Linked DNA regions of Elephas maximus indicus. The protein of the gene in region 2 purifies or fractionates together with the protein of the main gene of each other region. This does not show direct contact. Links are inferred from orthologs where the notes say so. Each region holds a gene or a part of one and is shown on either strand. Other genes may lie near its edges.

The links.
Region 1: the proteins of NOP56 (region 2) and RPL18 purify together in Homo sapiens (affinity purification with mass spectrometry; 4 studies listed by BioGRID and IntAct, with this or other methods). This does not show direct contact. The link is inferred for Elephas maximus indicus from reciprocal best matches to the Homo sapiens genes NOP56 and RPL18.

What each region holds. Positions count from the first base shown.
Region 1 is NC_064829.1:99,008,004-99,015,107, forward strand, and holds the start of RPL18 (60S ribosomal protein L18), read right to left. Parts: upstream 3,012-7,104; 5' UTR 2,931-3,011; coding exon 2,928-2,930; intron 1,674-2,927; coding exon 1,587-1,673; intron 1,214-1,586; coding exon 1,106-1,213; intron 679-1,105; coding exon 580-678; intron 23-579; coding exon 1-22. Other genes in the region: SPHK2 (sphingosine kinase 2), read left to right, coding at 5,186-5,224.
Region 2 is NC_064843.1:41,254,245-41,261,945, forward strand, and holds the start of NOP56 (nucleolar protein 56), read left to right. Parts: upstream 1-4,687; 5' UTR 4,688-4,760; coding exon 4,761-4,763; intron 4,764-4,917; coding exon 4,918-5,007; intron 5,008-5,401; coding exon 5,402-5,516; intron 5,517-5,960; exon of another isoform or gene 5,961-6,028; intron 6,029-6,188; coding exon 6,189-6,350; intron 6,351-6,515; coding exon 6,516-6,714; intron 6,715-6,819; exon of another isoform or gene 6,820-6,949; intron 6,950-7,053; coding exon 7,054-7,241; intron 7,242-7,323; coding exon 7,324-7,475; intron 7,476-7,641; coding exon 7,642-7,701. UniProt on the Homo sapiens protein: Involved in the early to middle stages of 60S ribosomal subunit biogenesis. Required for the biogenesis of box C/D snoRNAs such U3, U8 and U14 snoRNAs. Part of the small subunit (SSU) processome, first precursor of the small eukaryotic ribosomal subunit.

The sequences.
Region 1 (7,104 bases), on a different chromosome or scaffold from region 2:
TGCTCACGCGCAGCGCACACACCTGAAGGAAAGGACAGGTGGGGTCAGGGCCCACCGCGTAGCACCCTAGGGGGTGCCGGGACTCAGCATCCACTGCCCTGGCTGCCAGTGGCCCCAATTACTTGCTTGATAACACAACCAATGGTTACCAGAGGCTTCCTAAGTTGACAGTGGCTATTCTTACCACTTTACGTCTAGACTCACCTAAGACCACCGCAGTCCTGAAAAGCAGGCACCACCGTCCTCACGTGTTATTACACGTAAGTAAGCTAAGGCATAAAGAGATTACAAACTTTGTCCAGAGAAGACAGAATGGCAAAGATCCAGATCTGAACCCCAGTCGTCTGGCTTGAGAGCAAATGTATCACCAGTGTACGAGGAAACTGAAGGCCAGAAAGGTCTTGCCAAGGGCCACCACTGTTCAATCCTAAACACTGCCTGGACAGGCCTGCTGCCTGCCTGTCCCAGAGGCGACCAGGGACACTTCACAGGCCCATGTCACATGGCAGAGCAAGGATGCAGGTCAGGTCTGCACACCTCCACCCTGAGCCTGTGCCCTGGAGCCCCCACCCTACTCACCTTCAGCTTGGGCACCTCCTGAACCCGCACATCATCTGTTATGGTCCCCACGACCACAGCCGTCTTGTTTTCCCGGCCAGGAAGCTTCATCTTCCTGATCTGGGGGAGAGGGGGAATGCACAAAATAAGAAGTCCCTTCTGGTGTTTAAATCCAATCCCCCTGCCTCAGGCAGCGTAAGGACCAAAACAGTTATCCCCTCTGACGAGGTTAAGCCCACTCACACACGCCTCCCTAAATAGCAGGGGACTTCTCAGGTCTAGCTTAGGAAAATCCACAAATGAGAACATATAACCACAGACTGTTCACCAGGTCTCTCCTATCAAAAGCTTTTCTAAGACACTTGAGCCTCAGGACAACCTCATGAGGAAGCCACAAGCTTCACAAGGAGGGGAAATGAGGCCAAGCCACTTGCCCAAGGCTATCCCGCCACAACCAAAGGCCAGAGCTTTGCGCCCACCACTGGGTGTAACAAAGCAGCTGACGCCCAGGCCGCTACCCCAAGCCCTCCCTGCAACAACCTCTCACCATCCGAGAAAGGGACAGGGGTGGCCGATTGGTGCGGCTCATGAACAGCCTCTTCAGCACAACTTGGTTGAAGGTAGAGTTGGTTCGTCTGGCCAGAAACCTGTACAGCTGGAGGAGAAAGGAAGGAGAGGCATGAGAACCTCAGGCAGCCCACCACTCCCACTCCCCACTTTCCAGTGAAGGGACAAATCAATGATGATTCAGGCTAGAAGTGTTCCTACGGCCTGTGCAGCCACTGACTGAGCTTTTCCCATATCCTACAGAGCTCAAGGGGCAGAGCTGGTTCAGGTCCCCCCTGCCCAAGGACCCAGAAACCCCCTCCCCACCTGAATACAGCTCACAGGCTGAAACATGAGCCTTCCAGAAGCTCTGGGCACAAGGACAGAACCAGAGATTCGAGCCTGCCATGTGGGCCCCTGAAGCGCTGCCAAGTCACAGCTCTGGGGTGGCCCTACCCCTGAGACTCAGGTCCCAGCCTCACCTTGACCAACAGCCGGAGGTAGATGTCCTGGCTCTTGGGCTCCTTGCGCCGAACCTTCCGGTCTTTGTTGTGGCGGATGTCGACTCCCTAGGGGGGTGAAGGCAAGACCACAGACTGGACTCAGGGTCTGGCAGATCACTCACCCCAGAAACCAAGACCAAGCTGGGGCCCAAGTCTCTGCAATCAACAGCTCAAATCCCAGCTCCACAACTGGGAGACCTCTGGGTGAGTCACTTAAAAACCTCTGGGGCTTAAGGGACAAAAAAGGGGGACAATCAACACGCAAAACCTTTTGCACAGAACAAATTGTCAAAACTCTTAACACAAGAGCTGTATTGCCGCAACCAAAAAAAAAAAAAAAAGTTCAACTCTTCAGAAGTTGTATTTTATAACGATACTAAGTATTATTTAAATTGCTAAAAACTGTTTCTCACACCTGCAGTGACGCAAACATTTAACCTAAGACACACGCTAAATAACAACTGACAACGCTTCTTTTTTTCTTTTTTAAGAATTCCCTCTGTATCGATCTAGAACTACCTTTCATTAACTCTTTGAATCTAACAACCTTGAGGTTGTTTCTGCTATTATCCCCAATTGCTAAAGAAACCCCACAATTCCCGCTGCAACCTCTGCCTGGTTTTCAGAGTAACTGAGGTTTTAAGATGGTGTTAATAACTGTAAAGAGCTACTTAGGTGTTAACAACACTTGCTTTATTGCAGATGCGCCCTTCTTATGAGTTACTTCTTTCTTATCTCACAAACCCATGAGACAGAATAGGACTGTGGTCCCTATGGACAGATGTGAAAACCGAGGCACAAGCCCGGAAAACAAGGCCCTAACCAATTTTTTTTTTTTTTTTTAATCACATTGCAGCCAGGCAGCCGAGAATCCAACGGAAGTCTGCCCGTTTCCAAAGCCTAGGCACTTGGCCCTCGACTCCCCAGAAAACCCACCTCTCGAGGCTGAAAAGTGGCAAGTAGTGGTAGTGTCAATAAACATAAACAGTTAAGAGTGCCCGAAGGCCAGCAGCCGGGCCCGAATCCCGGCTCCGCCACTTCTTGGCCTTGTAACCCCAATCATATTACTTAATCTCTCTGTACCTGAGTGTGCTCAACTATTTATGGAGCAGTTAATAAAGAAGTGCGGAAGGGACTGGAGACTGAAGTGATCCTGACCGATTCCCGGCCCCCAGGATGCCAACATAGCCTTCCCCGCCTCGGGCATCAACTTCTTCGGACACCCCTGGCACCCCTGGCCCCCTCCGGCAGACCCCCGGCCCAAGATCGCGGCGGATGGCGGCGGATGGCCAAGTCCCGAACGCCACCAGATGTGCTCACCATGATGGCGCCTCCTGCTCAGCCCGGGTTTGGAAAGACAGAACGAGGCGGGTGTGGGCGGGGAAAGCCTCCAGAGAGTGGCGCCCGCGTGACGTCACATGAGCGCCACGCGGCGCTCTACCACAACCCGGCCTCTTCGTGGTGTGTCGGAGGACCGGCTAAATGGGCGAGTACGGAATAGGACGGAGCGACAACCAAAGGGGAACAAGTGCGACGTCGCGGAAGGAAGGGCTAGCACGTCGGATGCCTCTCTGGCCCTCAACAGTCCCTGTTCTCTATACTCTGTCGGAAGCAAAGGATCTGAGCGCGAGAGAGATGTTCCGCGGAGCTACGAGGACGCGTAGCGGGTTGACGCTCTGGCCCGACGCCGACGACCTCTCTCTGGCTCCGGAGGACTCGGCGATCCGAGTATTGGAGGTGAGGAAGCGGGGCAGGTGAGGCTAGTTCAGGCCTCGGAAAACCTCTGACCCTAAGCTTCGGGCGTTTCCTGAGTTACCTCACGTCCTCCTTATCTCGCACTGCACCCCAAGCTTGGCCGCAGGTCAGGAAGTCCTTCTCGAGGTCTAACCCGAGACCTTCTTGCTGTAGCCTAGTCTGTAGCACCCTGTACTTCCACCTTTTCGGTTCCACTTTCCTCCTGTCTCCTGATGGCCCTGCCCTGACCACCCCCATCTTTCGTCACCTGAGGTCAACCTTTTTCCACCAAAGAGGTTCAGTGGCCCAGAGGGCATTGGTGCGAGGGGTATGCACAGTACTGGAAAGCAGAGGAAGTGCACTGAGACCCCGATTGAGGTAGGGGTGGGAGTGAGGACCGGTAAAAAGATCCATAAAGTGCGGAGACCTAAAGGGGAGTAGACAGTTTGGGGTGGGGAGTGGACATAACGTTGGTAGTGGTGGGAGAATGGAAGTTGGACACCCAGAGAAGAAGAGATATAGATGTGAGATGGTGCCTTGCCCGGTAACCAAATTCAAATCCTGGCTCTGCTGCTTACTGTATAACCTTGGGCAAGTCACTTAGTCTCTCCGTGCTTTATTTTCCTTACCTCCAAAATGGAGATGAGAATAGGCCTACCACAGCGAGTGGTTTCCAGAATCATGAATTAATAAAAGTGCTTAGGACAATGCTGTACATGTAATAAGTGCTCAGTGGCGTTGGCAAAGAATATTGAGTATACCCTGGACTGCCAGAAGAACGAACAAATCTGTCTTGGAAGAAGCACAACCAGAATACTCCGTAGGCGTGAGGATGGCGAGACTTTGTCTCACTTACTTTGGACATCTTATCAGGAGGTACCAATCCCTGGAAAAGGACACGATTGGTAAAGTAGAGGGTCAGTGAAAAAGGGGAAGACTCTCAATGAGATGGATTGACACAGTGGCTGCAACAATGGGCTCAAACATAGTAATGATTGTGAGGATGGTACAGGACTAAGCAGTGTTTTGTTCTGTTGTGCATGGGGTTGCTCTGAGTTGGAACCTAATTTGATGGCACCCAACAACATAACAACAAAAATTAACTCTTACTGAGTGTGATCAGATGGACTGGCTGGGGCAGTAATGAGGCTGACCTGAAGGGCTTCAAACAGATTCAGTCATGGCTGAGGAAGCGAAACAGGAACAGATCCAAAGTTTTACAATTTGGTACCTGGAACAGGAAAAATTACAGGTCGAAGCCCTGGAATAGGAGACTCCGAAGAGAAATAGTGAGCCCTTTCAGGTGCATGACGCGTGAAATTGGATTATTGGCAGAACTGTGGAGAATAGCACACACTCAAAGCAGCACGGTCGGCTGCCATTTTTGAGCGGAACAACGCTGCTTTGGACTGTGCTCAAAATCTGAGGGCAACAGATTTGGTTGCTATGCAATGCACACCTGCCCTTATTCTTTGAGAGGGAGATTAAGTTTCTAGCTGGGCTTTGACTCATAATTTTTCCCATTCGAGTCTCTTCTGGTGATGCTTCCTCAGCCATGACTGAACCATGCAGAACTGGTTTGAAGTCCTGCTGACCTGCCCTCTCTTTCCTCCTTCCTCAGGGAGGCCCTGCCTGGGAGGTTCAAGCACACCCGGCAATATCTCCTGCTGTCTGCCCTCGATGCACCTATTCACTGTTCCTCTCCTCCACAGAGCCAAAGGCCAGGCCTGGATCGTGGTGCCTGACTCCTTGCTTCCCCTGCTGTGCCCCCCTGCCCATCCCCAGTGGCCTCAGACCCAGGTCCTGGGTCCTGGCGATGTGGTGACAGAATAGAGGGCAGGCAGATGAATGGATGCCTTGAAGCAGAGGAACAGCAGGACCAGGTAAGGGCCCATGTAAAAGCCAAGACTGCAGTACCGTGAGACACATCACCCAAGGCCCTTCCATGTCAGACCTTCTCTCCAGGCGGTAGGATTTTGCTTTTTCCCCATGTCACAGACAGGGCAACTGAGGTCCAGAGAAGCCAGGGGCTTTCCTGAGGTTATACAGCAACTCCGTATGAGAGGCCTGGAGCCCCTCATCTGCCTCCTTTTGGGGGAGCTCCAGGCCCTCTTCTCTGCTTCCTTTTCCTTCTCCTCCCTGTTCCCTGGTCTCTGTGACTTGGTCTCCATGTTTGAGCCTTAGGTTTTTTTGTCTGCTTTTCTCTCTACTGGGTCCCAAGCTCTGATGCTGTGTCTCTCCATCTCACTGGGTTTCCGTCCGCCTTTCTTTGGGGCATTCCTTGGCACTATTATCTGGTGATATTGCTACCCTGGAGGAGTCCCTGGGTGATACAAATGGTTAACATGCTCGACTGCTAACCGAAAGGTTGGTGGTTCAAATCCACCCAGAGGTGCCTTGGAATAAAGGCCTGGTGATCTGTTTCCAAAAGATCACAGCCCTTGAAAACTCTATGGAACACAGATCTACTCTGACACACATCAGGTCACCACGAGTTGGAATCGACTTGATGGTAAATGGTGGTGGCGGTGGTGGTTGCTACCCTGGGCTGGATGCGAAGTATACTGTTTGGCAAGAAAAGAACTTCTTCCATTTGTCTCTTTTTAGCAAAGCTCTGTCCTTGTCTCTTTCTGTGTGTCTCTCCACAGTTCTGATTCAAGTCTCCTGATATAGCCTTACCTTATTTCCTTTTGGGAAACCCTGGTGGCAAAGTGGTTAAGTGCTATGGCTGCTAATGAACAGGTCAGCAGTTCAAATCCACCAGGTGCTCCTTGGAAACCCTATGGGGCAGTTCTACTCTGTCCTATAGGGTTACTATGAGTCGGAATTGACAGCAACGGGTTTGGTGCATCCTTTCAGTCTCACCATGCCTTTGCCTCTTTGTGTCTGTCAACATCTTTGCTTTCTGTCTCTCTTGGTCTCAGTCCCTCTCAGCCTCTGGACCTCCAAAATTATCCCCCAAGCCCTTCCCCATCCCCTGGAAGTTTCTCTCTCTATCTCTCTTCTGTATCTCTGTCTAGACAAGCAAGCCACTGACTTGAGTCATTTACTGGGCAGATGGTTATCTCATGTTACCTCTGCTCTGGTTTGAGCCCAAGATAAATAATTTGTGAATTAATGAGCCTCTCTTCCCTGGTTTTCATTGCAGAAGTGTGTCGTTTTCTGGGTCTTCTGTGCCCTTACCTTGCTCATTGTTACTCTTGCTGGCTTCGTTTCTTTGTATGTCTGCTTTTCTTTGAATCTGTCTTTTTGTAACGGAAATCTCCCTTGTCTCTGACTCTTTCTGCTTTTCTGGGTTTCTGCCTCGCTGAATCTCTGTGTTTTACTACCCCTTTGCATGTCTCTGAGCATTTATTACCATGTTCCTGTATTGTCAGGCTGTCTGTCTCTGCAGCTAAAGGTTTCCTCCCCCTTGTGTCATCTCGTTTATGAACTTAATGGATGGGACAGGCTCACGTGCCCTTGACAAAGATGGCAGCTTCAGGGCCGGCTTTGGGACTATGACGCCCCCTCTGCTGCGCGTGTGCCCTCACCTAGGATGGCGGCCGGTCTCGCGAGGTGCGATGCCCCCGGCTGTTCTCGACTTCTCCCTCGGCCTGCCCCTGCGACAAGCTCGCTTGTCGATTGGCTCCGCCCCACGCCCTCTCATTGGCCTGACTCAGACCGGCCGCTCGGCGACTGGCTAAGCCGAGCACACCCTCCCCCCCACCCCTAGATCTGATGGGGGCGGTTGGTGCTGACCTGAGGAGCCGCCTGGAGGAGG
Region 2 (7,701 bases):
AAGAAACAAAATATAGCCTTGAGTATATCCCATCTGCATCTGGAGACCATTTCAGGAACAGATTTGATGCTTTGAACACTAACGACCAAAGACTAGATGAACTGTGGAATGACATCAAGAACATAATACATGAAGAAAGCATGAGGTCATTAAAAAGACGGGAAAGAAAGAAAAGACCAAAATAGATGTCAGAAGAGACTCTGAAATTTGCTCTTCAACATAAAGTAGCTAAAGCAAATGGAAGAAATGAGGAAGTAAAAGAGCTGAACAGATGATTTCAAAGGGTGGCTCGAGAAGACAAAATAAAGTAATATTATGAAATGTACAAAGACCTGGAGTTAGAAAACCAAAAAGGAAGAACACACTTGGCATTTCTCAAGCTGAAAGAACTGAAGAAAAAAATTCAAGCCTCGAGTTGAAATACTGAAGGATTCTATGGCCAAAATAATGAATGACACAGGAAGCATCATAAGAAGATGGAAGGAATACACAGTCACTGTACCAAAAAGAATTGGTTGACATTCCACCATTTCAGGAGGTAGCATATGATCAAGAATCAATGGTACTGAAGGAAGAAGTCCAAGCTGCACTGAAAACACTGGCATAAAACAAGGCTCCAGGAATTGATGGAATACCAATTTAGATGTTTCAACAAACAGATGGAGCGCTGAAGGTGCCGACTCATCTATGCCAAGAAATTTGGAAGACAGCTACCTGGCCAACGAACTGGAAGAGATCCATATTTGTACCCATTTCAAAGAAAGGTGATCCAACAGAATGTGGAAATTATCAAACGATACCATTAATATCACATGCAAATAAAATTTTGCTGAAGATAATTCAAAAATGCAGCAGTACCTTAATAGGGAACTGCCAGAAATTCCAGTGAGATTCAGAAGAGGATGTGGAACGAGGGTTATCACTGCTGATGTCAGATGGATCTTGGCTGAAAGCAGACAATACCAGAAAGATGCTTACCTGTATTTTATTGACTATGCAAAGGCATTCAACTGTGTGGATCATAACAAATTATGGATGACATTGCGAAGAATGGGAATTCCAGAGCACTTAATTGTGCTCATGCAGAACCCGTGCATAGACCAAGAGGTAGTCATTCCAACAGAACAAGAGGATACTGAGTGGTTTAAAATCAGGAGAGGTGTGCGTCAGGGTTGTGCCCTTTCATCATACCTTTTCAATCTGTATGCTGAGCAAATAATCTGAGAAACCAGGTTATATGAAGAACATGGCATCAGGATTAGAGACTCATTAGCCACCTGCAATATGCAGATGACAACCTTGCCTGCTGAAAGAGAAGAGGACTTGAAGCACTTACTGATGAAGATGAAAGACTACAGCCTACAGTATGGATTACACCTCAACATAAAGAAAACAAAAATCTTCACAACTGGACAAATAAAGTAACATCATGTCAAATGGAGAAAAGTTTGAAGTTGCCAAGGATTTCATTTTACTTGGATCCACAATCAACAGCCATGGAAGCAGTGGTCAAGAAATCAAAAGACGCATTGCATTGGGCAAACTGGCTGCAAAAGACCTCTTTAAAGTATTGAAAAGCAAAGATGTCGCCTTGAGGACTAAAGTGTGCCTGACCCAAGCCATGGTGTTTTCAATCACCTCATATGCATGGAAAGCTGGACAATGAATAAGGAAGACAGAAGAATTGACACTTTTAAATTGTGGTGTTGGTGAAGAATATTGAATATACCATGGACTGCAAAAAGAACAAACAGATCTGTCTTGGAAGAAGTACAACCAGAATGCTTCTTAGAAGGGATGGCAAGGCTACGTATCATGCACTTTGGACATGTTATCAGAAGGTATCAGTCCCTGGAGAAGCACATCATGCTTGTTAGAGGGTCAGTGAAAAAGAGGAAGACTCTCAACAAGATGGATTGACACAGTGGCTGCAACAATGGGCTCAAGCATAGCAACGACTGTGAAGACAATGCAGGACTGGGCAGTGTTTTGCTCTGTTGTGCGTAGGGTTGCTAAGAGCTGGAACCAACTCAACAGCACCTAACAACAACAACAACATGGGGCTGCAGTCAGATAGATGGCAGGAGGGACTGGAACATCCCAAATGGCTTCACTTGCAGGTCTTGTACTTTAACGTATATTAGATGGCTGTAAGGATGGGCTCAGCTTGGACACTGGGAAAGGTAGACCTCTGCCCCTCTCCATGTGGTCTCTCCAGCAGAGTAGCTGAACTTCCAAAGCAACTCAAGGCTCTCAATAATGCAAAAGGCTGAAGCCTAGAGCTGGCAGAGAATCATATTCTGGTTAAAGCTTGGTTTAGAACACTTAGGGTAAGTCACAGAACCAGCCCAGTCAAACGTGCGGAAGAGCAGGGGACTAACAAGGCCATGATACGAGGAGGCACAGACCACTAGCGGCCTTCTTTGGAAACTAGCTACCATAGGTGATTCCATGATACCAAGGCCCTTAACATTTCCATTTCTTCCTGCCACTGTGAGCACTCACAAACACAACATGACTGGATGTTCTGTCTGGAAAGATCATTCTGGCAATGGAGAGGAAGACGGCTAGGAGAAGGGGAAACCAAAGGTTTTGCGAAAGTACACTTTGGTGGTGAAGACCTGAAGCAGGCAAGGAGCGGTGGGCTCAGTGAGCAGTCTGCGGGGAGGGGACAGGTGGTCTGTAACGTCACAGGGTGTGGAGACGCCATCTGGGGCAGGGTTAGGAAGCACGGGGGAGGGCAATGGGAGAGAGGAAGCCAAAGGAATATTTGTGGCATTTAGGCCATAATCACATTTAATTGTTAGCATTCGTAACATACTAGTTGAAGTGCACTTTTCTACAGTCATCAGCAAACTATTTCAGCACAGCTACTTCACAGCAAGAGGATGTGAATCTAACCCAAATATGACTAATTAACTTTGAGCCCAGTGGGTGACTCTCTAGTTTTTTATATCCTGACCTAATACACAGAAATGTGTGCATATATATATATATGTATATGTACCAGAATATACCAGTTGTCATGGCAACCCCAGGTGTTTCAGAGTAGAACTTACTGTGATCTTTCAAAAGCAGATCACCAGGCCTTTCTTCCGAGGCACTCTGGGTATATTTGAAAACTTTGCACCACCCAGGGACTCCTTTGTATGTATGTAAGTGTATACACATACATACATATACACATATATACATTTGTATGACTGCTGAGACAAAAGTTTTCCAAATCACTATCCCTTACTCTATTCTCTTTAATCTTTTTTTTTTTTTTTTTTAATGCTGGCCATGACTGAGTAAATTAATTCTGCAATCCATTAATGGACTCTGACTTCTGGTTTGAAAATCTCAGCCCCAGTAAAGAAACACCTGAAACTCCAGGAAGATTTTGGATGAAGTATAGAAGTAATACACTAAATTAAAGTCACTGCATTAATATTCTCCACTACATTTTGGAATCATCTATTTAATTTGCTATTTTAAGTATCTATTTTATACATTTTTTTTATACGGCTTAAGAGAATTTAACATACCGGATTATGTAATAATCCATTTTTGCAACTCCATTCTAAAATGTGAAATAAACTAATTCAGACTCGTGATAAATTGGTAAACACACAGAATGCAAACATTTCAAAAGCAATATTGAGATTATGAAGTTTTAAAAATCACTGCCCATATTTTTAAGTTTCATGGGTTCTGTTTGTCAAGTAACTTAATCGCTTAAGAAGAAAATAAATGTCTTATATTTATAAATGCAGTCTAATTGTGGGAACTTCAAATTATTAAGTTCCCTTGAAATTATTATTTAAATTCACCAGGAAACTTGCTACTTACGGGACGATTTATAACTCTAAAATTAACTATTAAAGCCAGAGTAATTTCAAAACAGACTTCTGCGTGCCCAAAAGCCTCCCTGGAGTACGGGAAAGCAGCTCGCCTCACTCGGATGTGAAGAATCTAGGACCGTCCACGCGGGCGAGCAACACGTGGCTCTGCAAAAGGAGCTGGGGAGCAGGAAACCGTCCCAGCAACAAGTGGTATGGTCTTTTCTACTTTACTGCCACCCTCATTAAAAGCAACAATAATAAGTTTACAATTGCTTTTTAAACATAAAAAAAAAAAAAAACCCCAAGAGGCACGTTTCTTGCAGGGTCTACGCCGGCTGGCCCCAAACCCGGTTCCAGTCCCGGGAAGGAGGAAAAGGTGCGCGGCCTGCGGGGCTTGGGGGGCGGGCTGGGGGAGGGAGAGTCGCCCCTGAAGGGCAGGCGGGTACGGAGAGCCCTGCGGGACGTGGAAGGAGGGGTATGGGATCCAAGACCACCCGTGGAGCCCAGAGCGGGCTCCGCCACCGTTTCTGTAGGGATGGTCGCCACGCCCCATGCAGTGCAGCCCACACCTATTTCACAGAGCTCTGCTGCCTGTAACTTATATGATCAAAACATGAAGAACCTGGACTGTTATCCAGAAAAAAGCGCTTTTGCGGCCTGCAGCGCCCGGCCTCACCCCGCTCAGCCCCGGCAACCGCACCAGCCCGCTGCAGCAAGGCCGGAAAAGGCCGGCTACCCCTTGGCGCCACTCTCCCCACACGCCGCCCTCGCCCTCTAGGCGATACCATCCCAGATGCACCCCTCCGGAGGACCCGAAATGGTGCCGTCCTCGGCCTCTGATTGGCTGACTCGGCGAGGGCGTGGCCTCCGGGGCCAGGTTCCGCGCGCTGGAGCCCGCTCGCCGCATTGCGAGCCGGGCAAGGAGCGAGCGCCATGGTGAGGGCTGGTTGTGGGTTGCGGGCGAGGCGAAGGCCGTGGCCTGGGCCCAGGCTTTGGCGCGGACCTAGGCCCAGCCGGTGTCTGCCTTGGGATCGGGGGCCCGGCGAACGCTGGGCCCGCGCTGATGCTCGAGCCCCGGCTTCCGTTCCAGGTGCTGCTGCACGTGCTGTTTGAGCACGCGGTCGGCTACGCGCTGTTGGCGGTAAAGGAGGTGGAGGAGATCAGCTTGCTGCTGCCGCAGGTGAGTGGAACCGGTGAGTTCGGCAGCCGGAGGGGCTGCAGCGCGGTCGGGCGAGTCCCCAGCGCAGGCCCCAGCATGCACCGCGCGTTCCCACGTGGTCGGCTGTGTGGAGTGGGGGTGGGGAACGGGCCTGGAGAGCTGTAGAGCCAGGGTCCTCGCCTTGGTTCATGACAAGAATAACTTTAGGAGCTTTTTTAGATAAGCCATTTCTTTTCCATTACGGACTAAAGCAGAACCTTGAGAGATGGAGCCCAGGCATCCCTGTGTTTTAAAAGCTTTCTAGGTGGTTCTTGGATGTGTCCAAGCCTGAGAACCTCGGCTTCACTGCGGTTTAGAGTCAAAATAGTCAAAGAGTGTCGGAAGGAAACCGCTCATCCTGTTTCTCCCACCCCAGGTGGAGGAGTGCGTGCTCAATCTGGGCAAGTTCCACAACATCGTTCGTCTCGTGGCCTTTTGTCCCTTCGCCTCCTCCCACGTTGCCTTGGAAAATGCCAACGCCGTGTCCGAAGGTGAATTGGCCACCCCGAAGTTTTAGGGGAGATAGGATATGTGATTCCTGCTGCAGTTCTCTTGGGGGATTTGTGATAAAAAAAAACGAAATGCTGTCATATTTAAAGCTATCTCTAGAATCGAGATTTTGTTTTCTTACGAGCATTGGGGTGGTAAATAATTCTTAAATGAAATCTTGGGTGGGTGGGGGACCCCGGTTTAAAGCCCATTTGTGCCCGAAGCTTGCCTAAACCCAGTCACCTGAAGGGTTCCCTGCTGCATCATTCATGTAGTTGAATACATGTAAGCCAAGAAGACTGTTCTGAAACAGTTGTGGTCCCAGGAGACAAATAAGATACTTGCTGCTTTTATCATGCTGGAGCTTGTGTTTTAAGCTTTATTTGTATATTCCAAACTGGTGCTGTTGGACCTGAGCCCTGTTCCTCCCCTAGTTGAGCCAGGCTTTGCAGTGATGACTTGTGTCTGTCAATCCCCTGAGTGCAGTCACTGATGTCTCCATGTCTCTGAGCAATGCCTGAAGGGGGAGGGTGCCTAGGCATGGCATCCCAGCATGCTCTGCAGAACCAGTTTAAGATCCGCTATCACTTAATCAGCTCTGTAACAAGACAGGATCCCTTCTATACTTTAAATGTCCTAAAGCATGTTAGTAAGCGGTGTTTTTTTACCTGGAGGTGTTGTTCATGAGGATCTTCGCCTGTTCTTGGAGACATACCTGCCATCCAAAAAAAAGAAAGTAGTCTTGGGAGTTGGGGACCCCAAGATTGGTGCTGCTATACAGGAGGAGTTAGGGTACAACTGCCAGACTGGAGGTGTGATAGCTGAGATCCTGCGAGGTGAGAACATCTGTGGCACTTATGCCATTCTTGACAAACTTGGCCGGCGGGGGAGGGGGGTGGCGTCCTGAAGGTGCTTAAGATTACTTCTGGAGGCCTTGCTTGCCTGATGGGTGCGGAGCTAGCTCAGGCCCTTTCCATGCTCATAGCCCTACCCTTCTCCAGGAATTCGCCTGCACTTCCATAATCTGGTGAAGGGTCTGACTGACCTGTCTGCTTGTAAAGCTCAGCTTGGTCTGGGACACAGCTACTCTCGTGCCAAAGTTAAGTTTAATGTGAACCGGGTGGACAATATGATCATTCAGTCCATTAGCCTTCTGGACCAGCTGGATAAAGACATCAATACCTTCTCTATGCGTGTCAGGTAAAGTACAGGGGCAGTCCCAGAAAGTGGGGTCTTTGGCCTGTAGTTTAGCTAATTTTGAATCCTTAGATCAGGTCTGGGAAGAACCAGGTGGGGAAGGGGTTTGGCCTCCTTGTGCTTACCACAGGCTGTGTTTTTGCACTGACTGTATAGAAAGGGGAGGCAGATAAAGTACCCCATATACACCTCAGCCCAGGCCTTGTGCCTGGTTTGTATTGTGAATGGGGCAACATGGCATTGAGGAGGCTTTAAATCTGACTGGTCCCATTTTTTCCAGACATGTAGTAGATAAGGGGAGATGTGGTAGCTGGTCTAGGGAGTGACTGTGGCTCCTTGCAGGGAGTGGTATGGCTATCACTTTCCGGAGCTGGTGAAGATTGTCAATGACAATGCCACGTACTGCCGCCTTGCCCAATTCATTGGAAACCGCAAAGAGCTGAACGAAGACAAGTTGGAGAAGCTGGAGGAACTGACTATGGACGGGGCCAAGGCCAAGGCCATTCTAGATGCCTCACGGTCTTCCATGGGTCAGTGCAGAGCCTGGCAGCCAGGTGTAACGTGTGGGGCTTTGAATGTCTGGTTCCTGCATTCACATTTGGTGTTCTCTAGGCATGGACATATCTGCCATCGACTTGATAAACATCGAGAGCTTCTCCAGCCGAGTGGTGTCTCTATCAGAATACCGCCAGAGCTTACATACTTACCTGCGCTCCAAGATGAGCCAAGTAGCCCCCAGCTTGTCAGCTCTCATTGGGGAAGCGGTATGTCATGGGGGGCTCGGGAATGTTACCATGTAAGTCTGCGCTGCTGTATTTTCTGACTTGCCATATCTTCCCTAGTTGTGCATGATGGGGAGGAGGTAAGCAGGGATTATGTAATTCTTAGGTCAGCAGTTTCAGCTTCTGACTTCTTTGTGTCTTTCTCCAGGTAGGTGCACGTCTCATTGCACATGCTGGCAGCCTCACCAACCTGGCCAAGTATCCAGCA